4 linked regions of the Saccharomyces cerevisiae S288C genome follow. The gene in region 4 interacts genetically with the main gene of each other region. Each region holds a gene or a part of one and is shown on either strand. Other genes may lie near its edges.

The links.
Region 1: mutations in POS5 (region 4) and HXT11 together harm fitness less than expected from each alone (positive genetic interaction), as found in Saccharomyces cerevisiae (one large-scale study listed by BioGRID).
Region 2: mutations in POS5 (region 4) and ARO10 together harm fitness less than expected from each alone (positive genetic interaction), as found in Saccharomyces cerevisiae (one large-scale study listed by BioGRID).
Region 3: mutations in POS5 (region 4) and FAA3 together harm fitness less than expected from each alone (positive genetic interaction), as found in Saccharomyces cerevisiae (one large-scale study listed by BioGRID).

What each region holds. Positions count from the first base shown.
Region 1 is NC_001147.6:21,959-29,523, reverse strand, and holds HXT11 (hexose transporter HXT11), read right to left. Parts: upstream 4,252-7,565; coding exon 2,548-4,251; downstream 1-2,547. Other genes in the region: HPF1 (mannoprotein), read left to right, coding at 1-821; YOL155W-A (uncharacterized protein), read right to left, coding at 2,306-2,440; oligo-1,6-glucosidase IMA2, read left to right, coding at 5,230-6,999. UniProt on the Saccharomyces cerevisiae protein: Probable glucose transporter.
Region 2 is NC_001136.10:1,231,161-1,238,958, reverse strand, and holds ARO10 (phenylpyruvate decarboxylase ARO10), read right to left. Parts: upstream 4,742-7,798; coding exon 2,834-4,741; downstream 1-2,833. Other genes in the region: COI1 (Coi1p), read left to right, coding at 109-134, 329-647; RNA-binding protein YRA1, read right to left, coding at 955-1,350, 2,117-2,401; SDH6 (Sdh6p), read left to right, coding at 5,442-5,681; GTPase-activating protein RGA2, read right to left, coding at 5,763-7,798. UniProt on the Saccharomyces cerevisiae protein: One of five 2-oxo acid decarboxylases (PDC1, PDC5, PDC6, ARO10, and THI3) involved in amino acid catabolism.
Region 3 is NC_001141.2:335,955-344,026, forward strand, and holds FAA3 (long-chain fatty acid-CoA ligase FAA3), read left to right. Parts: upstream 1-3,389; coding exon 3,390-5,474; downstream 5,475-8,072. Other genes in the region: ubiquitin-related modifier URM1, read left to right, coding at 6,582-6,881; NAS2 (Nas2p), read right to left, coding at 7,040-7,702. UniProt on the Saccharomyces cerevisiae protein: Activates endogenous long-chain fatty acids (LCFA) by esterification of the fatty acids into metabolically active CoA-thioesters for subsequent degradation or incorporation into phospholipids.
Region 4 is NC_001148.4:187,918-195,431, reverse strand, and holds POS5 (NADH kinase), read right to left. Parts: upstream 4,027-7,514; coding exon 2,782-4,026; downstream 1-2,781. Other genes in the region: UIP4 (Uip4p), read left to right, coding at 6-920; MF(ALPHA)1 (Mf(Alpha)1p), read right to left, coding at 1,287-1,784; GUP2 (putative O-acyltransferase), read right to left, coding at 4,449-6,278; COA2 (Coa2p), read left to right, coding at 6,919-7,125. UniProt on the Saccharomyces cerevisiae protein: Phosphorylates both NADH and NAD(+), with a twofold preference for NADH. Anti-oxidant factor and key source of the cellular reductant NADPH.

The sequences.
Region 1 (7,565 bases), on a different chromosome or scaffold from region 4:
CCTGTTCAGAAACAACTGATTCGAACGGTAACGTCTATACCATTACCACAACCGTACCATGTTCATCTACCACCGCCACTATCACTTCTTGCGATGAGACCGGATGTCATGTAACTACGTCTACCGGTACCGTCGCCACTGAAACCGTTTCTTCCAAATCATACACCACTGTTACCGTCACCCACTGTGACAACAATGGCTGTAACACCAAGACTGTCACTTCTGAATGTCCTGAAGAAACTTCAGCAACTACTACTTCTCCAAAATCATACACTACTGTTACCGTTACTCACTGTGACGACAACGGCTGTAACACTAAGACTGTCACCTCTGAGGCCCCTGAAGCCACAACCACTACTGTTTCTCCAAAGACATACACTACCGCTACTGTTACTCAGTGCGATGACAATGGATGTAGCACCAAGACTGTCACTTCTGAAGCTCCTAAAGAAACTTCAGAAACTTCAGAAACCAGTGCTGCCCCTAAGACATACACTACTGCCACTGTTACTCAATGTGATGACAATGGTTGTAACGTCAAGATAATCACCTCTCAAATACCTGAAGCTACTTCAACCGTCACCGCAACTAGTGCTTCTCCAAAGTCATACACTACTGTCACTTCTGAGGGTTCTAAAGCAACCTCATTGACTACTGCCATTTCCAAGGCTTCTAGTGCAATTTCCACATACTCCAAATCTGCAGCTCCAATAAAGACCTCTACTGGTATCATTGTCCAGTCCGAGGGTATTGCCGCAGGTTTGAATGCCAATACTTTGAATGCATTGGTCGGTATTTTCGTTCTTGCTTTCTTTAACTAATTTTTTTAACTGAGGAATTAAAAGTTTATTCCTCTGAAACGAGATAGGTTCTTAATATGCGTTTTATATACGCTTTGTGTAAACAGTTAAGTATTTTTTTAGCTTAATATTTGGATTTTTTTTATTTTTTTTATTCTTTTTGGATGAAATGGTTCCCTCTTCTGCCAATGAAGGGGAGACTAGGTTGATGTGTACACATCGTACACATTTTAAGGACACTTATTTCACTTATTGTCCACAGTAAAATCGTTCAGGCCATAATTAAATGCGAACTTAAGAGAACCTAAAAGTACCTCCCAACTTTTATAGTGGAGCTTCCGCTCTTTGGTCAGAAAAAAATCGAGTTCTGAACACTTGGCTTTATATTACAAATTTCTCCCTTCCAAGAAAGACAAGGGGTGCTTATCGCGACATGTCTCACAATAAACTTTATTATATTTATACTTTATTTATTAATAAGAGTTTCAAATAGGATTCTTGGAGAATTTTCAAAGCGTTTTTGCGTATAAGAAACTTTTCGGTTTGGCTCTTATCAGTTTACTGCCGATCTTTCTTCCTCACTGCTTGACCTGCCACTACGGAAGATCTTACCGACAATGATGTGAGCGGCGAGAACAAGGGAAATCTCGTAAGAATAGGAAACAACCTAACCTCATTTACTAAGAGAACCCGCAGGAAAAGATATCTTTTTGAGGCACAATTTTATGACCGCGTGTTTTCGAATTTTGACAGGGATCATGCAGGCAGAGATTTTCATGTCATTTGACAGCAAGTAACCCACAATCTACAGTCACACCCTTTTTGGCTTTTTTGAGGCGGGACTTTTTTTTTTAAGACATAATTCTTCAGCAGATTGAAATTCTGGTAACCTAATTGAGAAATCCCACGCATAATTGAGTTTTAACTTTCGAATTTTTCAGCAAGATAAATTAATGTCTCGCCCGGGCCATAGACAAAAGAAGAAAATCTATAAACATTCCGTGGATCGCCATGTGATATTTCTATTTAATATAGGCACATGGCTATGGCGAAACCTTAATGTGATACTTATGGTACATATATGTAACATGCTATAGTTACAGTAAGGATTGGCAACTTAATTCGTTTCCTTCGATTTTATACTCTTCGAACGTATTTGCAGTCATTGGCAGTAGAACATCATTTAGCACATCCAACGACTACCGTCGTTGTGCACGTGACACTCACCCCAATTGGACACTGACTTGAACTAAAATAACAGCGTGTCATATAGATAAGGAAGATAAATATATTGGAACTGGTAGTATCACATTTCCATCATGAAAAACCCAGTGTAGCCATATCGAAAATATCAGAAACGAGTGGTAACACGGAACCTATATATATTACATAGGCTGCAATGAGTATATTGATTCATGATATCGTAGCTGCTTGAACTATTTTTCAAGGCTTCAAAAAATATCATGGTATTATTAGCATGCAACTTGTGAAAAAATAAATATGCATTACAGTACAAGGATCTGAGTGTTAGATTTATAGTCGGGCCTAGTTGCACTCTTAATAATACGGTATACATAATAATGGATTGCCATCCGACAACTATAGCCAGTCACGCATTTATTGAAGCTTCCATAAAACATTCATTAGAAATTAAAGGGTACAAAAGTAAAAACATTATGTATAATAGAGAATTAGTTTCGTCAATTTTTTTTTTTGCTTTTTTACCAATTTACCGAAAACTAGAAGATCAGCTGGAAAAGAACCTCTTGTAAATTGGTCTATTGTCATGATCTATTGCATCAGCATCGTAATCTGCGGTTCTTCTCTCCGGTGGCACCCATGAGGCCGATTTCCATGCTGGCACACCTTCCAGCCACATAGTATTCACCTCCTCCAGTGTCAGGCCTTTTGTTTCTGGGACAAAGAAAAAGACATAAAAGTATGCAAAAACCAGACAGCCTAAGAATACGTAACCGTAGTAAAAGTTGATTGCCCCGGTAATGAATGGGGTAAAGAAACTAATCAGGAAACCCCACATCCAGTTTGCAGCTGTTGCGATTGCCATTCCTCTTGATTTGACCCTAAGAGGAAACGTCTCTGAGACAATAACGTAACAGCCGCCTGCCCAAGTGGTGGCGAACGAAAAAATGAAGAACATAGTAAACACAATCATACAGTTACCGGCGCCCTGAGAAGTAATGTCTTGGTGACTGCTTCCTTGAGGCCACAACTTTGTCACACCGACGGAGGCAAACACAGCAAAGCAGCATAGCATAGAAGCAGCACCCCACAATAGACACGTACGGCGTCCAAACCTCTCAATGGTGTATACCGCTATGAATGAAGAGAAAAAATTAACCACACCGATAATGATCGAAGTCTGAAAGGAGTCCTTTAGACCGACAGATTTGAAGATGGTGGTACCGTAGTAAAAGAAGTAGTTGTCACCGGTTAATTGCTGCAGCGATTGGATCATCACTCCCATGAGAACACGCTGAAAGACCTTTGTTTTAGTGGAGAGTAGTTCAGACCATGATGCGTTACCTGCCAGCTTTTCAAGTTCAATTCCTGCCTTTATAGTGTCATATTCAACTAGCAAGGCTGGATCGTCAACTGAGACTTTGTTGGATTTCGATAGTGAACGTTTCGCTTCCTCATCTTTACCAACCTCAATCAGGTAACGTGGTGATTCTGGTACAAACATCATTCCACTAACCATGAATGTAGCCCAGGCAAAGCAAAGACCAAGGCCGACTCTCCATTGAGTGGCGTTGTGATAGTTCTTGGTACCGTAATTGGTACAGTATCCTAGAAAAATACCCATCGTACCCATCAGCTGGTACAATTGGACCAGAGTTCCTCTGATATGTTTGGGAGCAACTTCAGATATCAACATTGGGGAAAGGACAGCAATGCCTCCCACTCCTAGGCCAGAAATAATTCTTCCAATGAAGTATTGGTACCACTTGTTTATGGAAGTTATTTGGATTAGGATGCCTACAACGTAAATGGCAGTAACTGTAATCAATCCAATACGACGACCATATATATCACCGACTTTTGACAAGACAATTCCGCCTATGGCGCAGCCAATGTTGAATATTGAGACGATCAAACCCATTCTTACTTTCGATAAGTAGTAGGTTCCCTTGTCATTTTTTTGACCGAACCTTCTGATGAAATCAGAAAGGTTAACAAAACCAGAAATGGTACCGGTATCCCAACCAAAGATGAAGCCGCCAAATGCAATCATCAAACACAGGATTGCGACGGTGGTATACGCAGAGAGGGGTTTTTGAGGTAAGTCAATAGGTGGCTCATTGGCATCTAGGTTAAGGGAATTTTTAGAGTCACCGTGTTCAGTCTTAACAGAGGGAGCGCCTACTGCTGAGTTAGAGTTAGACATGGTAGTAGATAACTCATTTGCGGATGTATTATTAACACCTGACATGATATTGAGTAATAACAAAAGCGTTTAGAACTAAATTGTGCAATGATTATTTTTTTCAACTCATACCAAAAAAAGAAGAAGAAAAAGATAGGAACAAGTGTGCTCTTCTCTAGTTACACAACTGTGACATTATATACCTTTAATTAGCGAAAAAGAGGAACTGAGAAAGATGAGCCTAGACCTTAAGAGCTAAGTAGTATACGGTGTGTCGAACTGCTACTGATACTTTGAACGAAGGTGTCCGAGTGTATGCATTGTTCGTGTGGTCAGCATTTATTGTGGAGGAGGCGGTTTCATCTACAATTTCCGACGCCTGATTTTCCACGGATATAATTTATTTTTTGACACCTGGAGTTTACATTTCACAAAATTTCTTTCTTTTTTAGTTTTGCACTGATTTCCCCTGAAATAAAGAAAAAAAAGAAAAAGAAGGTTTTGTGAAGTGCCAAGGGATGCACGAGAAAAGCACTTATAACTCGCACGGAGAAATGATTATGTAATTTTCGCGGAGAAATGATTATGTAATTCCGCGGAGAAATGGTTATGTAATTTTTGTGGGGAACTGAACAAGGTCAGTTTACGCTTCGTACTTTGTCGTGGGACTACGTATACGCAAGATTGCGGAGGCAGTGCAATAATGGGGTCTGCTTGCAGATGGTATGATCTGCTATAACGGGCCAAGGGCCAGGCACGCTCTTGCAGAACATACCATGTTATATCATGTAGGTTGTGCAAACATTACCTAAAACTGAAAGCTTCGTTTACATACAGCACTCCTTCCAGATCCTAAATTTACTTTGTTCTTTTCTTATTTTCGATCATTCGTAAGACGTCCATAGGCACGTAAAAGACATATATAAGTAAGAAAGACTTCTTCACTCGAGGAATTAGCTGTACTAGAATATATGTTCCATTCACCAGTCCAAACACACAAACAAAAGTGAAAGTTTTTTCATAAAGAAAAGAAAGCAACGTACAATGACTATTTCTTCTGCACATCCAGAAACAGAACCCAAGTGGTGGAAAGAGGCCACAATCTATCAAATTTATCCCGCAAGTTTCAAAGACTCCAACAACGATGGGTGGGGTGATATGAAGGGTATTGCCTCCAAGTTGGAGTATATCAAAGAGCTTGGTGCCGATGCCATTTGGATCTCACCATTCTACGACTCGCCACAAGATGATATGGGTTACGATATTGCCAACTACGAAAAGGTCTGGCCAACCTACGGTACGAACGAGGACTGCTTTGCCTTGATCGAAAAGACACATAAGCTTGGTATGAAATTTATCACCGACTTAGTCATCAACCATTGCTCGAGCGAACATGAATGGTTCAAAGAGAGCAGATCCTCAAAAACCAATCCAAAACGTGACTGGTTCTTCTGGAGACCTCCTAAGGGTTATGACGCCGAAGGCAAGCCAATTCCTCCAAACAATTGGAGGTCTTACTTCGGTGGTTCTGCATGGACGTTCGATGAAAAGACACAAGAGTTTTACTTGCGTTTGTTTTGCTCCACCCAACCTGATTTGAATTGGGAGAATGAGGACTGTAGAAAGGCAATCTACGAAAGTGCCGTTGGATACTGGTTAGACCATGGTGTAGACGGCTTTAGAATTGATGTGGGAAGCTTGTACTCCAAGGTTGCTGGTCTACCAGACGCTCCTGTGATTGACGAAAACTCAAAGTGGCAACCCAGTGATCCTTTCACAATGAACGGACCACGTATCCATGAGTTTCATCAAGAAATGAACAAGTTCATCAGAAACAGAGTGAAGGATGGCAGAGAAATTATGACAGTTGGTGAAATGCAACATGCTACTGATGAAACCAAGAGGTTGTATACAAGTGCATCAAGACACGAACTTAGTGAGTTATTCAACTTTTCCCACACTGATGTCGGGACTTCGCCCAAGTTCCGTCAAAATTTGATCCCATATGAACTAAAGGATTGGAAGGTTGCCCTTGCTGAACTTTTCAGATACGTTAACGGAACTGATTGTTGGTCAACAATTTATCTGGAAAATCACGACCAACCTCGTTCAATTACCAGATTTGGTGACGATTCTCCTAAGAACCGTGTTATTTCTGGTAAGTTGTTGTCTGTGTTGTTGGTGTCACTGAGCGGTACTCTATATGTGTACCAAGGACAGGAACTGGGTGAAATCAATTTCAAGAACTGGCCTATCGAAAAATACGAGGATGTCGAAGTTAGAAATAACTATGATGCGATCAAGGAAGAGCATGGAGAAAACTCGAAGGAGATGAAGAGGTTTTTGGAAGCAATTGCCCTTATTTCCAGAGACCATGCTAGAACACCTATGCAATGGTCTCGTGAGGAGCCAAATGCTGGTTTTTCTGGTCCTAATGCTAAACCATGGTTTTACTTGAACGAGTCTTTCAGGGAAGGAATTAACGCTGAAGACGAATCCAAGGATCCCAACTCGGTTTTGAACTTCTGGAAGGAGGCCTTGAGATTTAGAAAGGCACACAAGGATATTACTGTATATGGATATGATTTTGAGTTTATTGATTTGGACAATAAGAAACTGTTCAGCTTCACAAAGAAATACGACAACAAAACATTGTTTGCTGCTTTGAACTTCAGCTCTGATTCGATTGACTTCACGATTCCAAACAATAGCTCGTCGTTTAAGTTGGAATTCGGAAACTACCCAAGAAGCGAAGTTGATGCGTCTTCCAGAACATTGAAGCCATGGGAGGGCAGAATTTACATATCTGAATGATTGATGATTGTGACGACAAGATTTTTATACATATACATATACTTATTTTTATCTATGTTACATACCGCACTTTAAATAGTAACGACATATATCTGGTAGTGCGGTATGAGTTATGTAATACACTAAAGTATAGTTTTGTGTAGCATTTTCCATATGTCCTTGCATTGGTATTGTATTATAATAATGCTGAGAGAAGGGTTACTCTATAGCTCATTTGGCCAGATAATACGGCGAGTTATGTGCATATAAGAACAAGTACTAGTGAAATTATATATTATTGTTTATGATCAACAGAATCATCTCTACTACACACTGCATTATGAACTGCAGCCACATTTATCTAAGGGCGGAACGTACCTATGAAATGTCTCTACTACTTTTATGAAGATACTGATTTTTAGTTTGTCACAAATTTTACGATTCTGAAAACACATATACTTTCTTTTATGTTGATAGAGCAATAACACAATGGCCATTTAAAATCTAGCCAGCAAAATATATTCACCGGTTCGTACAATCTCATTTACTATTCCCTCTGAACGTCTTGACTTTGCTCCGCCAGCAAA
Region 2 (7,798 bases), on a different chromosome or scaffold from region 4:
ATCTTCCTCCTTACAAACCCGAGCGTCCTGCTTGCATATAAAAAAATCAAGGCAGATGAAGAGATAAATATAGTAATATTTCATTCTTTGAGCCGTACTAAGTATACAATGTCAAATCCATTTCAAAATATAGGGTATGTGTAAAAGAAATAGGGAAACATCTATTCGTAAAGCCTAAACTAACATTGGATATCTTTTTCTATTTCCCGGACTTCTTTTTTGGTTATTTCCTTATTGGCCTATCCCTTGAAGCAGAGTTTGATTGCACCATATATATAACCAAAGTGAAGACGAAAGTAGGAAAACACTACCAATGCGATTTCAACAGTAAGAATTTACTATACATTTCTGCAGCCGGGATTGCGTCTATTTATGTGGTCAAGACCATAGTGAAAGCTAGAAGAGATGCTAAATTTATACCAAAGGCGCGGGGAAACAATGGTGAAGTGAATGAAAAAAACTATTATGATAACCTTGCTCAAGTCAAACCAGGGTTCCCCATACCTAAAGATGGAGGAGACAACATTGATTGCTCTGAGGACCATCAATTAGTAAGAAAGAGTAAATATGAAGGTAGCGGGCTTAGTGCTGTAACAAGAAAAAGAGGTGACAAATTAGGTTTTTTAGATAGGAGGAGAAACGAGTAACACACGTTTAATCAACCTATCCATTTTTTCAATGCAGTATTATGTATATATATATTCATCGCACTGTAAATAGTGACATATTATGAGTCAAATATGCCGAATAAACTTTAAAAGTGAGAAAAGCCGTCACCGATGAGTAGGTTAGCGTCACCTAGTGGCGGTGGTAAATATTATTACATAAACATATCAAAGTTTTATTAATACATTTTTTAATCCTTTAAATTTTCTGGAAACTAATACATAATGAAACTCGGAAAAATTAAATTTAATAAAACCAAATTAAATCAAACAAAAAATTGACAATTAATTATTTCTTTTCGAAATAGTCCGCCATTTCCTTGTCCAGATCTTCAAGACTTTTCTTAGCAGGCTTTTCTCTCTTTGGTTTGTTTTGGGATTTTGCCATAGCAGCTTTTCTATTTGGACCCCTCTTTACTGGTCTTGGAGCGTTTCCGCCTTTTTGTGGCATAGCCTTGATCCTGTCGGCTAAACTTTTGACTGGGCGTTGGTTTGGATCAACGATTAGGTTAAGTCTCAATCTTGATCTGCCTCCATCGATTGGAGAGCCGTTAAATCTTTCAACAGCCCTTCTGGCCAATTCACCGTTTTTGAATGTGATGTTAGCCATACCAGTAGATTGGCCCCTTTCGTTATAACTCAACAAAACTCTTTGAACACCACCTACTTGAGATGCAAAAAATTCCTATAATAAAAAAAAAAAAGTTAGTCATATATCTCTATGATATAAAATCAAAGAAGGAAGGGACAATACACAAACAATCAAGGAGTTGAGAGTATTAAAAGTATACCATTGCGTAGGAAAAATAAACCCTCAAATAAACATGTACCACGATGGGTGAGTTCCTCTTTGGTTTCATTAGGTGTCTCAAATCAAATATTTTTGTAACTATCATAATAAAAAAATGAAGCGATGCACTCATATCTTTTCGAACGTTCATGAAAGACATGTTTCCCATAGCTATTTTTTGAAAATGGTGCCATTCGAAACTGAAAGCTACTCCCTCTTGAAAGGATACAAAATTAATTGATCCTTCCACAACTTCAGTATTGGATGATACGCTTATTAAAAATAGGAACTAACTATCACGGTCGAGGCGACACAATACGCCAGCTTAAAAATGTAAGATTGACAGATTAGCAGATAGTCAGATTGATTTGAGTTAACCCAGCCAATAAGAACAAACCCATTCTCAGTGGTAGCTGGTAATTCCAACCTTATAGGCCATGATTTGAAGTATTGAAAAAAATTGGTATGGTTGGCTTATGAAAACGATACTCTTTTTGTATTTTCTCTAGCGAAGTATTTCGGACTCTTTCTTCATCTCTAAAAAGAGAATTCTTGATCAAAAGCGTGTGCCATATCCTTCCTTACAAAGAATATTTCTCGTATCCACACGAGACGATGCGAGTAACTAAACAAATAGCTCTCATTTCACGTATTAACATACTCTTACAGCATCCTGCTTAATGTCCCTTGGCAAACCTTCGACGTTGACCTTGACCTCTCTAGTGGTGTCCAAGAGCTTGGCAACTCTAGCGACTGCGTTTGGAGGTGCCCTAGTATTTTTTCTGATAGGGCCTCTTCTGTTTGGAAGGCTCCTACGTTGGCTACCAACTTGCTTACCAACTCTTCTTGGACCGTTACCACGAGTACCACCGACACGGGCTCTATTACTTCCTGCTTTGTTAGAGCCAATGATTTCGTCTAAGGATTTATCTAAGTTAGCAGACATTTAGCAGATGTAGGTATTTTCTTAATATGGATTTCTTAAAGTTTCAAATAGAACGAGGGAGATTTTTTTATCTATTTGTCTTCGATAGTTTTCGGATAAAACTTCTTCTAACAAAAAAACCTACTACTAAACACACGATAGGAATGACAGAAAAAAGCGAACGGAAGAAGTGAAAAAGGATAAATTTGGCGGCCTTTTATAGTTCTTCAAGTGGTGAGCCGAAAGCCGTGGAAAAACAACACGTCTCCCCGCCCCTGCCTCGTCGCGAAAAAAAAAATACTAGCAACTGGACAAAGAACTCTGTGGTAGTGGTAAAATAGCTTTAATATACGTATTTACTTTGTAAATATAGTTACATAAGGGTTTTTTATGTGTTAATGAACAGAAAACGAACAATTGGTAGCAGTGTTTTATAATTGCGCCCACAAGTTTCTATTTTTTATTTCTTTTAAGTGCCGCTGCTTCAACCATGCACTTTAGCTGTTCGGGGAAATCCAATTCGCCTAATTTGACTTCTAAAAGTTCTATCCCGCTTCTTTTGTTTGAATTCTTAAGCTCCTCCAATTTCAGTGCTAATTTAGAGGGACATTGAATGAGAGTGCTATTAGTATACTTTCCGTCGAAGTCTCCGAATGCTTCAAATAGTTTGGTCCATTTCCAAGACATAACGTCGTTATACGACCTGGTAGGGCCCATGATGGCTCTTTCAATAGTGTAGCCGTTATTGTTCCAAATGATAACTTCTAGTGGAATATTGCACTTCAGAATGGTGCTCAGTTCTTGGATTGTCATCTGTGCTGCACCGTCACCTTCAAACAAAATTAATCTTGGCTTATAGTCCTCTTTTACGTTGCCACCATTGATGTGAGCGTTTGAGTGGTCTTGCATGGCAATTCCAACACCTAGGGCGGCAGGAAGGGCCATGCCAATGGAAAGGAAAAATCCTTGCGATATATATTTTAATTGCGAAGGAAACGCGAAATCACGAACAGAGAATTGAAAAGAGCCTGTTTCACAAACGACAACATCACCAGGGTTCAAAAATTTAGGCATCGTCTTTTGTAAGTGAACTTGTGTAATAATGCTTGATTGTCCATTGGTAGGATCTTCTAACCGCATTGTTTCGTTCGTATATTGAGTTACATTTGAATCATATTGCAAAGAAAGTTTAGAAACGTCAATGCGCTTGTATAGTTCTTTTAAAATAGGGGCAAAATTGATTCCTTTGAACATTTGCTCATTGCCCTGCCTAGTGTCCACAAGGCGAATATAATTCGGATGAAATTGAATGATTTTAGCATTTGGTTTATAAGTAAAAGTATAATGCCCATTATTAATTTCATTGATGTCGACTCCAAAATGCAAGACCAAGTCGCACAGTTCAAAATGTTCATAGACTTGTTTTAAACCTTCTTTACCATTATATTGACCCATATAAGTTGGGTTTGACTCATCAATTACAGATTTTCCCATAACAGTGGAAAAATTCCAAATCCCAGTTTTGCAGATAAGCTTGTTCAAAAAGTTACTCACACCATACCTATCAGTCAGTACGTCTCCAAGGATCGCAGGTGTTTTACTGGAATATATCCAACTAGTAATCTTGTTGATTATGTCAGACAATTGGTTTTCAGAAGGGTATACTATACAATCTTGTTGAGATATACGTGGAACATTAACCAAATTATCACATGTAACAGACATATCCGCAAAATCTGCAGGAACAAAAATATAACCAGGTTTAGAATACTTGTAAATATCGCGGATAACATTATCGACTTGGTCACATGCAGTTTCAATATCCTCCAAGTAGGCTACCGAGCAAGCGACTCTATCTTTTACCATATCATGATATACTTTATGATTTGGCCCTTTAAAATTTGAATCATGTAGCTGTGGGACCAAATGATGTAGGTTCCGATCACTAAAGTTACTTGAACGCGAATCTATGGACTTGGCCACACCAACAATGTGCAAAACTTTGACATTTTCAGCGAACGAACCGGCTATACCGTTCAAGGCGCTTAATTCACCAACGCCATACGTGGTTATTAAACAGCCAATCTTATTAGAGTAACGGGAATATCCGTCGGCCGCATAAGCGGCGTTCAGTTCATTACACGTGCCGACCCATCTTAGGCCAGCTGATTCAACACTAGGTGAATAGAGATATTCTAATAGAGATAAGTTGAAGTCACCAGGAACACCGAAAACTGATTTCGTATCGATGGACAACAATCTTTTAAATATGTATTCACCAAACGGAATTGTTGCTGATCGGTTGGAAACAAGGTGTCGTTCTTCTTGATTTACGAACTTTTCAATTGTAACAGGTGCCATGCTTAAGGGAGTTTCTTTGTTATCTTGTAAATAAACTTTACAGAAGTCGCGTCAACTTGTTTTGAGTATCAAGTTGAGAGGGTTGATCAGTTAAATATGTTTTATATCAGATTTTATGTAGTATTAATAAACGCAGAAAAAAAATGAAAGTGAGCTGCCGCTGTAGTGACGATGCAAACTAGCCCAGTTTATATCTTAAACTTTACTCAACACAATAAATAAGATGCCACTAACCTATTACATACCGACACTTACCGAAGGTATCAAAGCTCCGCCGCACAAAAGTACGACAAATGCTCAGCATGACCTCGGCAATTTTCGGTAAATGACGGCTATCCGCGGTTATCCCTCCCGGTAGGTAACCGACACTTTGGAGAGGATTCGCAAAGGCTCAAAGTAATATATGACGGCTTTTTCAAAAAATAGCCTAAGCCTACTACCAAATGTTAATAAGGAAGCTACATGAGGTGTACAAGCATCGAATTTTGGATTATCTTTTTCGCTAAGACGTTGTTGTACGCTTTCAATCCTGCTTTTTTAAATTTCGGTGGACGAACCAATCTAAAATGTAGTAAAACTGGTAGATGTTAATTAATTAACCTTGCAAAGCCGAAGAAAAAAAGGGGTTCGCCAAATTATTCTTAACAAAGATAATGTAGCTTAAACACACAAGAAGAAGAGGAGACGCAATACCAAGAGCATGCCTAAGAGATTAAGTGGGTTACAAAAAGAAGTCTTACACCTGTATAGGGCTTCCATACGAACGGCTCATACAAAACCAAAGGAAAACCAAGTTAATTTTGTGAATTATATTCATGAAGAATTTGGGAAGTATAGAAATTTGCCAAGAAAAGACTTCACCACCATTGAACACTTGTTACGGGTCGGAAACAAAAAAATTGCCACCTTTTCACACCCTGAACTGACGAATATACATTGAACTATTTTCTTACTTTATTCTTTTTTCATATGATTTCTTATTTAATCTATCCTATGTTTATTTAACTTTTGCAAATCTGTATTATGCTTGCTTAAATATGTCTCTATAGTTTCCAAGTATAAATTCCACGATATAATTCCTCTCCTTCATGTCCACAATATCTTTCTCGCCGTCAAAATCGTGGATAAGACTCGGTGCAAAGACCAACGACAAGTTATGTAAGTTCATTAAATTTCTTTCACTGCACCTTCGAACTTTGCCGATATGTGCTGCCAATACTTTCAATACTTCCTGATGCTCTACGGGTAAAATTTTGAAAATTTCAAGTAGGCTTTTGAGCACCATTTCATAAATAGTCACTTTTTGTGGTGAATCCAAAAACTTGTCGTTGTTTAATGGTAGCCTCTCAATTAGTTGGTTATTTCTAACTAGATCTATCAAGGCATCGTATATGGAAAATGATAAAACTGGATCTGGTAGTTTTCTCAAATATCGTTTTAATACGCTAGCCACTGCATGAATATCTTGATTCAGTAAAGCATTCAGTTTGGGACTTAATGTATCACTATGCAACGAATTATTCTGAGCGAATTCATTTTCGATCTCCTCAACCAAAGTCTGTGAGCCCGACTTTCTGTATAAGCCTTCCATGTTCAGGCCTATATCATCTTTTTCAATGCGATCAATGCAGCACCTGATAATTATTGGAACAGTACTTTTTTCATACGCACATCGAGCTTGTAGCGAAGATCCATATAAATGGGAACCATCAGGCGTATAATCTAATCTCTTTGGACTTGGCGACAGTGGTACTTTGCCTGGAGAAGGAAGCTCATCGTGTACTCGAATTAATTTCGGTGATGATATTTCTTTCTGTGCTATATTTGTCGTTCCGCCTGAAGATGAATTTGGCGAACGTTGCTGTGATTCTAGATCGCCTACCTGGTGATCCTTAGCACTTGAAAATATTTTCCAGAAGCGTGGTTTAGGACTGGCATTAGATATGCTCCCTTTTCTGTCGGAATTTGAACTTGGTGACTTTACAGTGATTGATGTTGCAATGTTTTCTTTTTGTTCTAAGGACTCCCGGGAAGATGCAGATTGCTTATCCTTTTCTCTTGTTAAATTGTCAACATCATTTAACAGCCTCTCTTTCGCTAATCTTAGATTTTCAACATCTTGTAATAATTTTTTCTTCGTACCTTCTAGTTCCCTCACATCTAATTTTAACTTCCTTAAAGTCAACTCAGTAAAGTAAAAGTCCTTTTCCAAGCTTGTAGCGCTTTCATCAGTAGCATCCACTTTCGTGGAATCGTCTTCCAACAATGCATTAGTGGATCTAGACGTCTGTAAGCTAGAAGATCTGTGGTGTGCGGACTCAGATGACAGAGATGGCCTCTTAAATAATGGCCCTGATTCCAAAGGCGGCGTACGGAACATTGCTATATGATGCCCCGAGCTTGAACTTGTAAATGAACCATTTATGCGTCTATTAGTGGCTGTATCATTAGAATTTTGCTTTTTGGATATACTGCCAAGGCTGCTTTGCGCTTTTTTGTGATTAAACTCCGGTACTGTAAAATTTCCATGTTGTGGTAGAGTATTGTATATTGTACTGTCACTTTGGCCTCTTGATACAGGATTTTTTTTGGCTTTTGATTTTCTTATATTTGTATGAGTAGAGGAAACACCCCAGCCAGAATGAGTGTCTGATTCCTGTATAGAAGTGCTGTGATGGGGATGCTTTGGGTCCAGCATTTCCGAAGTTTTACTTTTCAGGTTGTGAACAAAATTTTTGGACTTCAAAGAAAACGATCTTGAAAGTTTTTTGTTTGGAGAGGGTGCTACTTTTTTATGCGGCAATAAGTTATCTGCTGTTTGAGGCCTGCTGAAACTTCCATTATCAGACAAACGTAATGTCGATGAAGAGGTTGATGTTTTCATTTCTACGGTATCGGTTCTTGTAATCGGGGAGACATGATTCATAGATTTGGAAGTTGACGTTTGAATACCTTGAGATGATTTGTTATTTTCTTTCGTAGCTTCTGATAAAGTTAATGCCAGTCCATGCGGAGGTTCGACCTCTTCGTTCATTTGTACAGCCATAGGGCTGTTCA
Region 3 (8,072 bases), on a different chromosome or scaffold from region 4:
ATCTCTTATCGATGCGTATACCTTGTAGTCGCAAACGTTATAAAATTTTGTAATTTTGGCGAAATGGCACGGATTGGTTAAAATTGTCGGGCTCATATGCGGTAGCGCTAAGTCCTGCTTGGTCAAGCTAGGAATTACATGGCCAGAGGGATGATATTGATCATGCTCCGAGTTGTCTTCAATTAATGCCTTTATCCATGGTTGTAGAAAAACTGAGTCTGTTGGCTTTGAATGAGACTCCAGAATTACTTTCGGCATTGTTTACTTGTTATCCCGATTTGTACCCAGGATTTACAGCTTTTAATTCATTATCTATGGTCAACTTTTGCTGTCTAGTTTCATATTTACTCGCTACCGTTTCACCAACTGTAGTCATCAGTTATGGTAAAAAAATCTCCGCGACGGGGAATTGAACCCCGATCTGGCACGCGACAAGCGCCCATTCTGACCATTAAACTATCACGGATTTGTTTCTATGAAAATTTCGTTTATTTGTATAGTATATGTTTTTTTAAAATATAATGAGAATCTGGTAGAAAAGTGTTGATAACTAGCAGTTTAAAACGTATCATTTGTTGAAATAAGTACCAACTATCATCCGTCGACTAGTACTCACACAACTATTGAGAAATTCGTAAGTTTTGTAAAACTGTTGGATACCGTTGCTGTTGAAGGCTATAGTAATAGGCATACAAAATTAGCGGAAGTTTACCTTGGAAATATATCCACAAAAGGGAAACGATATTTCCTCATAATAATATTGTAATTTCTTTTTCTTTTTATATGTTTCATTATCCTATACATTACCAATACTTGCATTTGAGCATTCATTAAATCTGATGGGTACATCTCAATCTTTCTGTCATCTTTTTATAGCATATATGGTAACATGCTAGTAGTATGAATACTAGTCGATATACGTAAATAAATTTTCATTTTAAAATGGATATGCCTAATCTGATAGATTCTATTAGCTGATTTTTCTACTACTTTTCATGTTCGTTTTTCAATAATTTGCAAGTTATATATCTTTGCCTCCGCTATACCGTGATGAAGGTTAATGCGTAAGTTGCAGGCGAGGCATGATATGGACCACAACCCAGTTCGAACATAAAGAACTGAAAAACCATGAGCTGTTTGATTAATTCAAAACAGCTGCTCACAATTTGGCCCAAGTTCAAACCTTTGTCTTTGAAGCATGGAACGTGCCGTTATTTTCATGCTAGTGTAATTTTTGCCTGTTTCATCCCTCCCATCAAAAAATTCATCACGAAGTGCTAAAGGAAAACAAAAAAAATATCAAAGAGAGGAGACGGCTTAAAAGCCCTTATTCAATTGAAGAAATCCCCTGACCTCTGCAAAAAATCTATCGTTTATTTTATTTCTTTGTCTTACGTAACAAATTTATTTTCTGGGATGATGTCAATTCTATTTGGCACGCGAGTCATCGTCTATATAAGGAGGTAACGAGGTCCTTGTATATTTGATGATCCTCACTATCAACACGTCGAGGGACGGTTGGTGACGAACTCAACTTATGTTATAGTTTTGGACCACTCTTTTCCTTGAAAAATTACAGGCATTATACGCAGTCCTGGGGCAGGAGCGCTTCGATCATTAGCATAACAGGATCACGGTTATCACCTGTTTTGTTATAATTCATGGCCTTTAGGTCATGACGTAAAATAATCGGAGTGAAAAAATGAAATCAAAGGCTATCATTTTTAGGGGAACTAAAGCACAAGGATTTGAAGGCGTAGTGAAATAATGAATAATAGATAATCTATGGACCGAACACAGACGTATTTAAAGACAATACAAGGCCATTAATTCCCTTCGGAGGGCTCCCGATGGGAGGATTCTTAGCATGCTCTTTCTAGCCAACAGTATCACTTTCATCAGAAAACGGAAGCCTCCAAAAAGCTACGCTAAACGCTTTTTTGTTTTGGATTATCGCAGAAAATTGGTGACATTCTTGATTAAGAATAAACGGTGACTAGCAAGAAAAGGACATGTCAGGTACCAGTAAAGTCCGATTTAAGATCAAATCAGCGCCTTTAAAGAATCTTGAGATCTTAGTAATCCCGATGGAAGGAAAGAGGTAAACAAACGAATAACTTAACCCTTAAGATGATTCTATACATAGCATGATCTATCCAAGGAACGACCGACGCCCTTAAAAGGGTTCTGCTCAGATTTCGTTAAATACCCGGACCATCGTAGATGATTGTTTTTACTCTCCCCTAACGATGTACTATGCCATAATAAGCATTTTTTTTTTCTTTCTTCACTGCAGCTCTGCTTTGAAAACACTACATCTAAGGCGCTGACGCCAACGCCCAGACTAAATCATCATATAATATCAAACGCCCAACAAAATATTAGAAATAGCTCAACAATAGAGCGCCAAAAGTTTACCGGAACGAACCATCATTGTTTACAGGCAAGCACCCATTTGGAAGGGTACGTAAACTAAATAAATAAGACAAGAAATTTTTTTTATATCTGGAATTTCCTTTGCATTTTAGTGATCCCACCATTACAGATAACTAAACCAGGATAAAAAACAAAAATAATGACATTAATGATACCTTAACTAACGTATAGCAAGCGAAGCAACCACCCATCAGATTTTTGTCCCCGTTTGGAAACTGGAATGCTATGACCACTTTTATCACTACAGCTAACCACTTGTCGGAATGAAGATACGAAAGAGAAATCTTTATTGGACCACTTTTTCTTTCGCTAGAGGTCCTACCTAGCGTATTGCACCCAAGTGATTATTGCGACCTCTGAGTGTCAGAAACTTACGAAGTAAAATTCATAGTTGTGCCTTTCGTCAAGAATCGGAAAGCGTAAAAATAGGCTACGGTCTTTGTCAAGGCGAAATTTTGGAGATTTCAGACGCATGATACCAGCAGTTTTTGGTAATATACTTTTTCAGGTAAAAGCTTTCTACGGCCACTGAAAGTAATGCAGAAGCTTAAGGCTACAGATGAAATGGCCGACCCAAACTAACCAAGCACAACATCAATTACAGAACCGACAATCGAAAATCCTAAAAAAAAAGAACATCGAGTGAACTTTTCGTTATCTCAAAGCTTTAAAGTTAAAAGTGGCAGAAGCCTTGGCTATTCTGTTTCTCTCTTAGATTCTCGCACGACAGCATCGAGCGAAGTTGCAAAACCATATATTTCAGTTCTCTAAACGATCTTTCCCCGAACTCCAATCGAAATAGACTTAACCCGCAACATAACTGACATTCTTCCTCTTTTTTTTTTTTTTTTTTTTTTTTTGCTATTTGCTTTCTGCATGCATAAAAGCGAGACTAGCGTATTAACACTTTATCACTTTCCCTCTCTTCCTGAAGCTGACATGAGCATACATCAATGTCCGAACAACACTCTGTCGCAGTCGGTAAAGCTGCTAATGAGCACGAGACTGCCCCTAGGAGAAATGTTAGAGTCAAGAAGCGGCCCTTAATTAGACCATTGAACTCGTCAGCATCTACGCTGTATGAATTTGCCCTAGAGTGTTTCAACAAGGGTGGAAAACGAGATGGTATGGCTTGGAGAGATGTCATCGAGATTCATGAGACAAAGAAAACCATTGTGAGAAAGGTAGACGGCAAGGATAAATCTATAGAAAAGACATGGCTGTATTATGAAATGTCACCATATAAAATGATGACCTACCAGGAACTGATCTGGGTGATGCACGATATGGGCCGTGGGCTGGCAAAAATAGGCATCAAGCCCAATGGAGAACACAAATTCCACATCTTCGCATCTACTTCCCATAAATGGATGAAGATTTTCCTTGGTTGCATATCCCAGGGTATCCCCGTAGTAACCGCGTATGATACTTTGGGTGAGAGCGGTTTGATTCACTCCATGGTTGAAACCGAGTCTGCTGCTATTTTCACTGATAATCAATTATTGGCTAAAATGATAGTGCCTTTGCAATCTGCTAAAGATATCAAATTTCTTATCCATAACGAACCTATCGACCCCAATGACAGAAGACAAAACGGCAAACTTTACAAGGCTGCTAAGGATGCCATTAATAAGATCAGAGAAGTTAGGCCAGACATAAAAATTTATAGTTTTGAAGAAGTTGTCAAGATAGGTAAAAAAAGTAAAGATGAGGTCAAACTTCATCCACCTGAGCCAAAAGATTTGGCTTGTATCATGTACACCTCGGGCTCGATCAGTGCACCAAAAGGTGTAGTATTGACTCATTATAATATTGTTTCGGGTATCGCTGGTGTAGGTCACAACGTCTTTGGATGGATCGGCTCTACAGACCGTGTTTTGTCGTTCTTGCCATTGGCTCATATTTTTGAACTGGTCTTTGAATTCGAAGCCTTTTACTGGAACGGTATTCTTGGGTACGGTAGTGTTAAGACTTTGACTAATACTTCGACTCGTAATTGTAAGGGTGACCTGGTTGAGTTTAAGCCTACTATTATGATCGGTGTGGCTGCCGTTTGGGAAACTGTGAGAAAAGCTATTTTGGAAAAGATCAGCGATTTAACTCCCGTACTCCAAAAGATTTTTTGGTCTGCCTATAGTATGAAAGAAAAGAGTGTACCATGCACCGGGTTTTTAAGTCGTATGGTCTTCAAGAAAGTCAGACAAGCCACCGGTGGTCATCTTAAGTATATTATGAACGGTGGGTCTGCGATCAGTATTGATGCTCAGAAATTCTTTTCTATCGTCCTGTGTCCTATGATTATCGGTTACGGCCTTACTGAAACAGTTGCGAATGCTTGTGTTTTGGAGCCTGATCATTTCGAATATGGTATAGTTGGTGATCTTGTTGGATCGGTCACTGCCAAATTGGTGGATGTTAAGGACCTAGGTTATTATGCAAAAAACAATCAAGGTGAATTGCTTCTAAAGGGTGCGCCGGTCTGTTCTGAATATTATAAGAATCCAATAGAAACGGCGGTCTCTTTCACTTACGATGGATGGTTTCGTACTGGTGATATTGTTGAATGGACTCCCAAGGGACAACTTAAAATTATTGATAGAAGAAAGAATTTGGTTAAAACCCTAAATGGTGAATATATTGCATTAGAAAAGTTAGAATCTGTTTACAGGTCAAACTCCTATGTGAAAAATATCTGTGTTTATGCCGATGAAAGTAGGGTTAAACCGGTGGGTATTGTGGTACCCAACCCAGGACCCCTATCTAAATTTGCTGTCAAATTGCGTATTATGAAAAAGGGTGAAGACATCGAAAACTATATCCATGACAAAGCATTACGAAATGCTGTTTTCAAAGAGATGATCGCAACAGCCAAATCTCAAGGTTTGGTTGGTATTGAACTATTATGTGGTATTGTTTTCTTTGATGAAGAATGGACACCTGAAAATGGCTTTGTCACATCTGCTCAAAAATTAAAGAGAAGAGAAATCTTAGCCGCTGTTAAATCAGAAGTCGAAAGGGTTTACAAAGAAAATTCTTAGAGAGAAGCTTATTACCTTCCCCTTCCATCTATGCACGGTGTCTCGTACTTCCATAGAGCACCGATTAGTGAATACTAAAACTATGTGCGTGATAAATGGTTCTCTTTTACAGATGCGGTAAATCAATTATTGATATACTACATAACATACAAACATGTTTCATTTCCGTAATACAAATTACAATTGTATAATTAAAAAATATAAAAAACTTCGTGATATGAAATCACATTTTGCTATTGAGTTTGCCACATGAGCGGTATACGAACTATTCGTTATTTTATGACTTTAAAAGCCATACCGAAAGTAGGCTTGAGAAGTATGACTACTGTAGGAGTGACCACTACTGTTAAATGCAGATAGCCGTCTTATGCTCTTCCCTTGTTCTTCTGAATTGGGAATGCATAGCTTGAAACATCAATCTTAATAAGGTCTTGTTTGTTTCTGCTTGGCTTTCATAGTAGCAAATAGTTTCGACCTTAATGTAAGAAATAAAAGCAATCGTTAATTTGAGTAAAGATAACCACTCTTCCTCTTCTACTATCAATATAATAAGAATAACGCTTATGGTTTATTTTAGCTTTTTTGAAAGCTAAACATTAAAAAAGAATAAAAATGCACGGCATACCTACATATTTTAAAAACATATATTTTATGATTGACTTTAGCAAAAGTTGGCGCTGGGTACTTTGAGACTCTTTCCTACAAAACGTTACCAACACTTGCTAGTCTAATCTAATCTACTTAATCAAGGTTTTAGTGGCGTACCATGTGACGGCCATCAAATGCCATCAGTTCTACAAGTTCACATATATTTATATATAACTATTCTCCTAACTTGTATAATATTATACCGAGACAGAGGATAGATTCAATTGATTTCACATACCGGATTATGTTCCTTCCCAAGTTCTCAATCTTATTTAGACTTTTTTTTTTAATTACATTGTCGCCCACTTCGGCAGAAAAAATATAACGACAAAGTAATGGCATCGCATCGACCTAATGAAATACTACTGGCAGACGGTATGGAGAGCTCAAAAATTCCCAAAGCAGAAAACAATACTGATTTCTGATACTAAAACGAGATAGGTTAATAGCAAAATCGGGATGGTAAACGTGAAAGTGGAGTTTCTAGGTGGACTTGATGCTATTTTTGGAAAACAAAGAGTACATAAAATTAAGATGGACAAAGAAGATCCTGTCACAGTGGGCGATTTGATTGACCACATTGTATCTACTATGATCAATAACCCTAATGACGTTAGTATCTTCATCGAAGATGATTCTATAAGACCCGGTATCATCACATTAATCAACGACACCGATTGGGAGCTCGAAGGCGAAAAAGACTACATATTGGAAGACGGTGACATCATCTCTTTTACTTCAACATTACATGGTGGTTAAAAATAGCAGCAAATAATTTTTAAGAAGCAGCTACATATATATATATAAAGTGCTGTACAGCTTGAATGAATCACAAGTTAGATAACGTAGGTAATATGCAGATAGTATAAAAAGTAATAGTAATAACTGGATTGGTTTTTTTTAGTACATGACGAAGATTATAGCTCTTGTATCCTACAACCCAAAAGACCTCTACCATTCCAGTTTCTCGAAGGTGTTAGCGATGTCTTTAGGATTTGCCCTTCTCTCAAGAGAAGGACGGGAAGTGGCCTGTCTTCATTTTTCATTACAACCATCTGAATGTTTTGAAGTTTAGAGTGGTTTGCCGCATGCACATTACCAATAGAAATCAGCTTATCATCAACCTTTATGTCTGCTTTATCTGAAGGGCTACCGGGTACTACCTCACTGATAAATGCAAAAGGGATGGTATACTGAATAGCTTGATCGTCGTTATTCCTTCTTGCATCTTGGTTTGACTTAACGTTCATATTATCAAAGTGCTGGTTTAGTAAGACGTGTGATCTTTGCAAAAGGTGATTTAAATCATTCTTCAGCATATTAACATTCTTTCTGATCATAGTGACTTGCAATACATCGACATCCGAACGAGGATACCCGTCTGGCGTCACCAACGCAGAGTCCATGCCGATGCCTTGCTGCTCAAGCACACTGAAATACGCCTCTAGTTGTGTCTCAATATCTGTCTTTAGAACCATCAATTCCGACAGTTTGAAGCTGTCTATTTGACTAATTCTTGATGTTAGGCTCGGATCTATCTTAACATTGGCCAACAATTTACTTAATTCTTCTTCCTCCATTGTAGTTCGTTCTTATTCTAATTCTTGCTCCTTTTTACTCTGGTGATAACTTTTCTATCTCTCAATGCTGAACATTTTTTTTCCCTTTATTATCCAATATTCCAACCGTTATAAAGTAAGCCTTATCGAACACAATCCACGGCGCACGCAAGGGACAGCAAATTTCGAGAATTAATGAATAGCCAGTAGTAAGATCCGTATTGATAAAGGTCATAGATCCCAACCTTTATGTGAGCCAGCCCGAAGGGCCCTTTAAATGACTCTCATAATATGGTCCAATAGCACCAATTTCTAGGGGTTACCCACCGGCCTAGTGCTTAATCGAATTCTGAAAAGAATCTCTACTACAGACTGCCAACCGTAATAGTAG
Region 4 (7,514 bases):
AAATAATGGTCACCATTGTATTTGATCATCCGGCGGAAGACTTTCCAGAGTTGAAGATCGCTGGGGAGTTTACCAATTGGGAAGGTGTACCCATGAAAATAAATACCAGTAGCGGGAAATGGGAATACAAATTTGATGAATCTTCGGTAACCAAACATAATGATAAAGATAAGGTACATTTCAAATTTATAGATCAGAACGGTAACTGGTTTGCCGATGATGAGTATCCAAAGGAGGTGGACGAGCACAGCAATGAAAACAATGTTGCTACTTTAAATAACGAAGAGGACGGCGGAAGCGCTGGTGAAGAAAAGGACGAGGGCGACAAAACTGCACACAATACAAATGAAAATGGGTCAGAGTTGTACTATGAGGGCCCTGAGACGCCAACTCCTTCTTTAAAAGGTAATGTAACGTTTCCTTCCCCTAAAACAGCTATTTCGCAAGATGGTTCTGCTTTTGCAAAAGAGACTACCAGGAAAGAAAGAAAGTATGAACATGCTCCATTGAACGAAGTTCCAGTAGAAAGAGATCCAAAAGAAGAGAATAAGGAGCTCTCTCCAAACTTTTCTCAGGAACAGACAGAGAATAAACAGGACAAAGGTTTAGACAATCTATCTGAAGGTAATGATAATGATAACACAAGAGTTAATGAAGATACAGACGTCACCGACACGCAAGAATCAGAACATGAGATCAACGGTTCTGATACTGAAAATACGGATATGTCCGAACAAGAAGAAATACAGAAAATAGATAAACCCGCCGATCAAAACGCTAAGTCAATTGTAAAAGAAGGCGATGCCAATACTGAAGATTATGAAAGTGTTTTGAAAAAGCTACTGGGAGCGTTAGGACGCTTTTTTGGCTCATGGTTTTCTTGGTTGACAACGAAAATGTCAAGCTCAGAGGCATCATAATCAGGGAGTGTATTTTTTTTCGTTGTCGTTATCCTCTTTGTATTTTACGCTGTTGAATTCTCTTAGGATTCGATTCACATTCATCTTTTTTTAGCTACTAATAGGATAAATTATAGGAATTTATAACAAATTGAAATATGGCAGGCAGCAAAATTAAAATTGTCTTAGTTTTTTAGTGTATAGAAGTGAATAGCTATATAAAGTATGTGTAAAGTTGGTAACGGAACGAAAAATAGAAAAGGATATTACATGGGAAAACATGTTGTTTACGGAGAAATGAAAAGTATATTGTATTTTGTACGAGCTAAAAGTACAGTGGGAACAAAGTCGACTTTGTTACATCTACACTGTTGTTATCAGTCGGGCTTAGTACATTGGTTGGCCGGGTTTTAACTGCAACCAATGCCAAGCTTCAGCGTCGGCTTCTCTTTTGTACATTGGTTGGCCAGGCTTTAGTTGCAGCCAATGCCAAGCTTCAGCGTCGGCTTCTCTTTTGTACATTGGTTGGCCAGGCTTTAGTTGCAGCCAATGCCAAGCTTCAGCTTCGGCTTCTCTCTTGTACATTGGTTGGCCAGGTTTTAGTTGCAACCAATGCCAAGCTTCAGCCTCTCTTTTATCCAAAGATACCCCTTCTTCTTTAGCAGCAATGCTGGCAATAGTAGTATTTATAAACAATAACCCGTTATTTGTGCTGTTGGAAAATGGCAAAACAGCAACATCGAAATCCCCTTCTAAATCTAAGTAACCGATGACAGCTTCAGCCGGAATTTGTGCCGTTTCATCTTCTGTTGTAGTGTTGACTGGAGCAGCTAATGCGGAGGATGCTGCGAATAAAACTGCAGTAAAAATTGAAGGAAATCTCATTCTTTTAATCGTTTATATTGTGTATGAAATTGATAGTTTGTAATCTTCTTGTTTGAACTATTCTTGAATCGTAAATGAATCGTAAGAACAGTAACATTTTTGATGGGAACAAAAGGCCCTCTTATATATGTACTTATCCAAAACCTGTTGTTGCTTTTTGGTTTTCTTGCACTTCAATACAATTGAAGTAAGGCTCACTTGAATATTATGTGTTTGATAAATGAGATGCATCTTTTCACATGGTCCACTGTTTTTCAGTAGAAGCTATTAAATTCGGCAAAATTTACTGTCGTTGATGGCCTAATTAGGAAGGTGTTCATAAAAAAAAGGAATACAGATGTTCTATTGAAGGACTAATTAGGAAAGTTAATTGGATTTTGTTAAATAATTGCACAAATAGTTGTTGGATATTGCATCAGAATTATGCAGATTACCAAAGAGAACGGGATGTCTATTTAGCGCATTTATTCCTAATTCGGAAATTATTGAAATCCACACTACTTAATAGTGCTGCACCATTTATCTCATAATTATTGCCTACGCTAATGAAAGCAAATCTTATTCCGACTTCAAATTGGATCTCTCCTCAAGAAAAGAAGCTCAATGACCTATTAGAGTATGAATACTTGTAAAACAAATGAACAGCGAGTGCTTGTTTAACTTTTTTTTTTTTTTTTTTTTGATTTTAGGAATTGATACGAAACATAGTCTCTCTCCATTTTCTCCCACAACAGGACTGCAGTAAGGATGTTATTATTAATAATATATATATTATATAATTATATCTTCTTGTTAAGCATGTCTTCCCTATATGTCACAGTTTTCTTAAAGCAATAGAATAAAAGACACAATACCAAAAATTTCATGTCGAGTATGTCAGTTGAGATTTCTCTAGACAAAATGCAAGAAAAAATAAAGATCTCTACTTGTCAAATACCTTTAAATCTTATCAATAGAATTCTTAGAGAATCTCATTGAATCTTTGCATTCAGAGCGTTTAATCATTATCAGTCTGTCTCTTGGTCAGCCTAAAGCTAGAATTGAATCCTAAAAGTTCATTGATTCCTCTAATCCAGTCATTCTCGGTCTTGGCGACACAATAAATCCCTGACCTTTTAGGCTTTTTTGAATTATTAAAGTCATTTTCAGTTTTTCTTGTCGTCGGAAGCTGAGTACCATCTATGTATATAGTGCCGACCTCATTTATAACATAAATTTCATCACCAACATCTAAATCCTGTTGAGGAATACCATCAACAGAAAGTTTTACCACACTGTTGACTGGTTTTTGGTTCAATTTGGAACCTATCTTTATCCTAATGTGGGATGAATGAGGCAAAATCAGTGGTCGGAATGACAAAGAGCGAGGACAAATTGGTGTCATTAAAATAGCAGGGACTAATGGGGAAACAATAGATCCACCTGCTGATAATGAATATGCTGTGGAACCCGTTGGAGTGGCCAATGCAACACCATCTGCTGTCGTTCTTGTCAAAAATTCCCCATCAATGAAAATGTCCAGGTTAGTGAGATGAGGGGAATTACCCCTATGTAAGAATATGTCATTCATAGCATGGGTCACAATAGATGAGTTGCTATCCTTTTTTTTCAAATGACATTCTAGCCGTGTTCTATGCAAACATTTGGCTCTAGAGCTGATTACTTCCTGAAAGACCTTTTTATGCTCCTTAAAATCAAACGGTGATAGAAAGCCCAGAGTGCCCAGAGCAAATGCTAAAACCGGAGGAACTTGCGTATTTCCGAACATTGATACGCCGTGTAAAATAGTCCCATCACCTCCCAATGTCACCAATAAGTCTGTTCTGTTTACGATATCTTGTTCAGGACCAGTATAAAGTATATGAGGTCGGTTGGGATCATTCTCCAAAGGAGATTTGAAATCCTGGGAAATTTCTTCTGCCACATCGGGTTGAACAATGACGTTCACCTCGGGGTATGACTCATGTAAATGAGTTATGAATTCAACCATCGCTTCTCTTGTGGATGGAGTCCATGGTTTTTTAGTTATATAAACATTTTGTAAAGGGTTCTGCCAGATTAAAGATTGTAATTTGGAATTTGGTGGGGACACGAAATCTGCTGATGAACTACTCCTCAAGTTATTTACTGGCTTTATTTTTACAAACTTCGAGCCGCTCTGTAACTTTAGGGAATGTGAATCCAACGTACTATAGAACCTATACCATTTTACTGGTTTATTCAATTTAACCCTGACAAACATTTTAATCAGTATCCTTAACCTTTTTATCCTTTTATTTATGAAACAGCGAATAATGAATACTTAGTCTTCTCCTGCCTTTTTTTATTTTTATTTTTTTTTCAATTTGGAGATTTCGGAAAATTGTGAAAATGTGTGAAAAGCACAAAGAAGAGTTGAGAACTGTGGAAGTTTCTTAAAAGTCGCAACTTAGTGATGCATATAGATACATGCAGCATTTCTGACAGTTACAGTTTTCAATAGCCATTGTGTGATTTAAATAGTGCATTGTTCTTTGTAACAATCTTGCAGTTAGTTTTACTTCGGTGAACTTAAATTTAAATTACTTGTAACGCATATATAGTACTTTGGTTAAAATTGTGTATTCCACATATTTACATTCTCGATTAAAAGGATTGACTTTCATAGCTTATCTAATAACTAGATCAACATTTCAAGTTGATGCCATGTCTTTTTTCTTCTTCTCTAATCTCAAACATTACCTGAACAGCAATAAATAGGCTTACCATTACCGCAGTCAAAAACTCCGGACTATGTGAATTGTTAAATATGCCCTTCAATAGAAGCTTCGTTCCCTCTGCACCCAAGCAAAATCCATAGACATTAATAATCATCATCATGCAAATATTTATTGCAGCACCGATACCGCAAACAAACCTGTACCAGCTTCTGAATCTATATCTACTAAAACAGTTAGTAATGTAGGTTTCGCCTAATAATAAAAGGACTGTTAACCACCCCCAAAACAACACTCGTAATTGGATGTCATGCCATATTGCTACAAATGAGAATACGGCAAAGCTCGTTAATATTTTGTTATTGGACCCGCCAAATGGAACATAGATGTAACGGATTACCCACTTGTTAAAACTTGTATGCCAGGCTCTCCAGAATCCCACTGTACTATAATTATTATCCACACATCGTAGCATATTTTCAGGTGCATCAATACCATCGACCATGGCCCACAGCCGAAAGAGCCTCCATGGGATCAAAAGTTTTAAATACATAATGTTCAAGTTGAACAGCGCGATCATAGCCTGTTGCAAGGGTGTATCATTGTTCCATGCCTTGGTCCTTGCTATTGCACCCACATAGATATAATGTAGGATAATTTCCATCAAAAGCAAACTCGAAAATACTTTGAGGGCATAGAAGCCTATGTTTTTTTTCGTTAGCGAAGGAAGCTTATTTTCTGATTGATAAAGGTAGTCATTAAAAGTGATAATTGGGCCCACTAAAAACAATGGCGCGTAAGTAATATAAGCGATAAAATTGATAAAGTTGTAATCCTGGATGTGATGTTCTGCTACCAGTCGTTCCTTTTCCTCCAGAACATTCTTACCTGACTCATAAATGGTTTGTAGAGTAGAACCAGATAAACTTTTTCTGAATTCAGGTCGTCTATCATCGTAATCTATCGAAGGTTGGCGGCTCAATTGTTCATGCCATCTTTCCAAAAAATCCATGGAGTAACTTAACAAACGCAATAATGTAAAATTGAAAAAAAAATCCCATCGAGGAACGATACCCTTATACCATTGATCCATGGGACTTAGGATGATAGCAATATTATTAAAGGGGAGATTTTTCATTTTTTGATTGATGAATAGTGTAAAGATACCATAGGACCAAATCGCAAAAGCGGCTATCAAACGCTTTCTCTTTAGCGAATGTGCCAAAGTGAAGAAAATAAAAGCATGCGTAAAGAGCTTAACAGAATTGATCCCGTACATGAAACAGACAAAAACTAATCCACACGCAAAATCGAATTTTGTTTTCGGAATTTTACTAAATTTAACAAAAACCTTTTTTAATATAATTTGTAGTAATATTAAGATGGCCAACAAAAAAAAATTGGATCTAAAAAACCTATACTGAGGATCGCTGTTATCCACTTTGCGGCCCAGAATCCAACCATGGGCTAGCAGTCCGCTGAATTTATAGTAGTTTGGATTAGACTCGGAGCTCGTAGCCAATGCCGCCTTTATCATGAAAGGAACTACTACGGTGAACGCCAAATAATATAGTCTAAATTCCCATGTATTCCATAGCGGAGGAGATGGGCTATTAGAGCTGAGCACAGGGTTACGGGTAACAGTAACGGCACTAGAAGATGAACCATTCTCTTCTTTAGATGAATTGATAAATATCCTTTGTCGCCTTTTGAATTCAATGTCTGGCTTTATTCGTGAATCAAGTGCCTGCACGGAAAAGAAATGTACGATGCAACTCCAGATTCTTAACATCGACATCTGACTTGTAGCGATGACGTCAATTATTTTTGAGCCCTATAATAAGGTAGTTGAGAAGACAAATTTGAAGCACCCAAAAACCCTCAAAACAGTACCTACCTCAAAGCTAGCTTCTCTTTCTTCTTCTATTTGACTTCATTTTTTCCATATTCACCATTGGTACCTTCCATAAACAACTATAACGCAGTACAAATGAAAAAAGAAGAAAAAAAAAAGAAAAAAAAAGAGACCTAAACGCGCCAAGATTACAGGTAAACGAGTAGAACTTTGATCTATGTGCCTGAAAACCCCTCGGGCACAGGGTTCATAACGAAAAAAAAAAAATCGTAAGTAATGGTAACCATAGTAACCGATGCATGGGTTTTAAAAGTCACGTGCTTAAGTCCATTAAGACCGGAAACCTCTACACCAGTTCTCCTTCTGCAAGGGTTTTCTTTTTTTATTTTTTTTGATGGGATGGCTCTCTTTCCCCGTGTTTGTACTTTTGATATATATAGGATATTCATCAAAACAGCGTTTCGAACTCAGCGCTTGCACGATAACATAAGCACCTCGAGACACATTAGGAAAATTTAACATCCTATTTATTTATTGAATTTACAGGCACGGAAGGCCAATTAGTTTAATTCAGACACATATCATGAGAGCAGTCACTAGAAACAAAATAGTCAATAACCTATACTTTTCTACATTTCTCATTGCATTCGCATCAGTGGCCATCGGTTCTGTGCTGCCATGTCCAGCACATTCAGTGGATTCTGATTCACCAGCTGTACAGCAACACAAGCTTCAGCTTGCTCATGAGCAGGAGTTAAAGAGGAAGGATGCTTTAAGTAAAAAGATTTAAACAGGTACGGGCTATCTGGAACTTTTGATAAGTTGTATTCTATCTCTTTTATTTCCTCTTTTTATTTATTTTCGAGTGCCGTAATCTTCGCTACTTCAAGTTTCATAATCAATCGACTTTCTGTATGGGTAAGCATCTGGTGTGATGCAGTTTCATTATGACACCACAAATACAAAAGAGACTATTTAAATATGTATATAGATCACATTCCAAAAAAGAAAACCATTAATAATATCACTCTTTAATATTCCAAATTGAAACGAAAAAGCGCTATTCTTATTCGCTTCCTAACTACCGCCCTAGTTCGTGCTTGCATTTTTTTGTAGAACGATAAATTATGGTATCCCACGTGATTGAGTGTAACCCTGAATTGTTGAAGAGAAAATGAA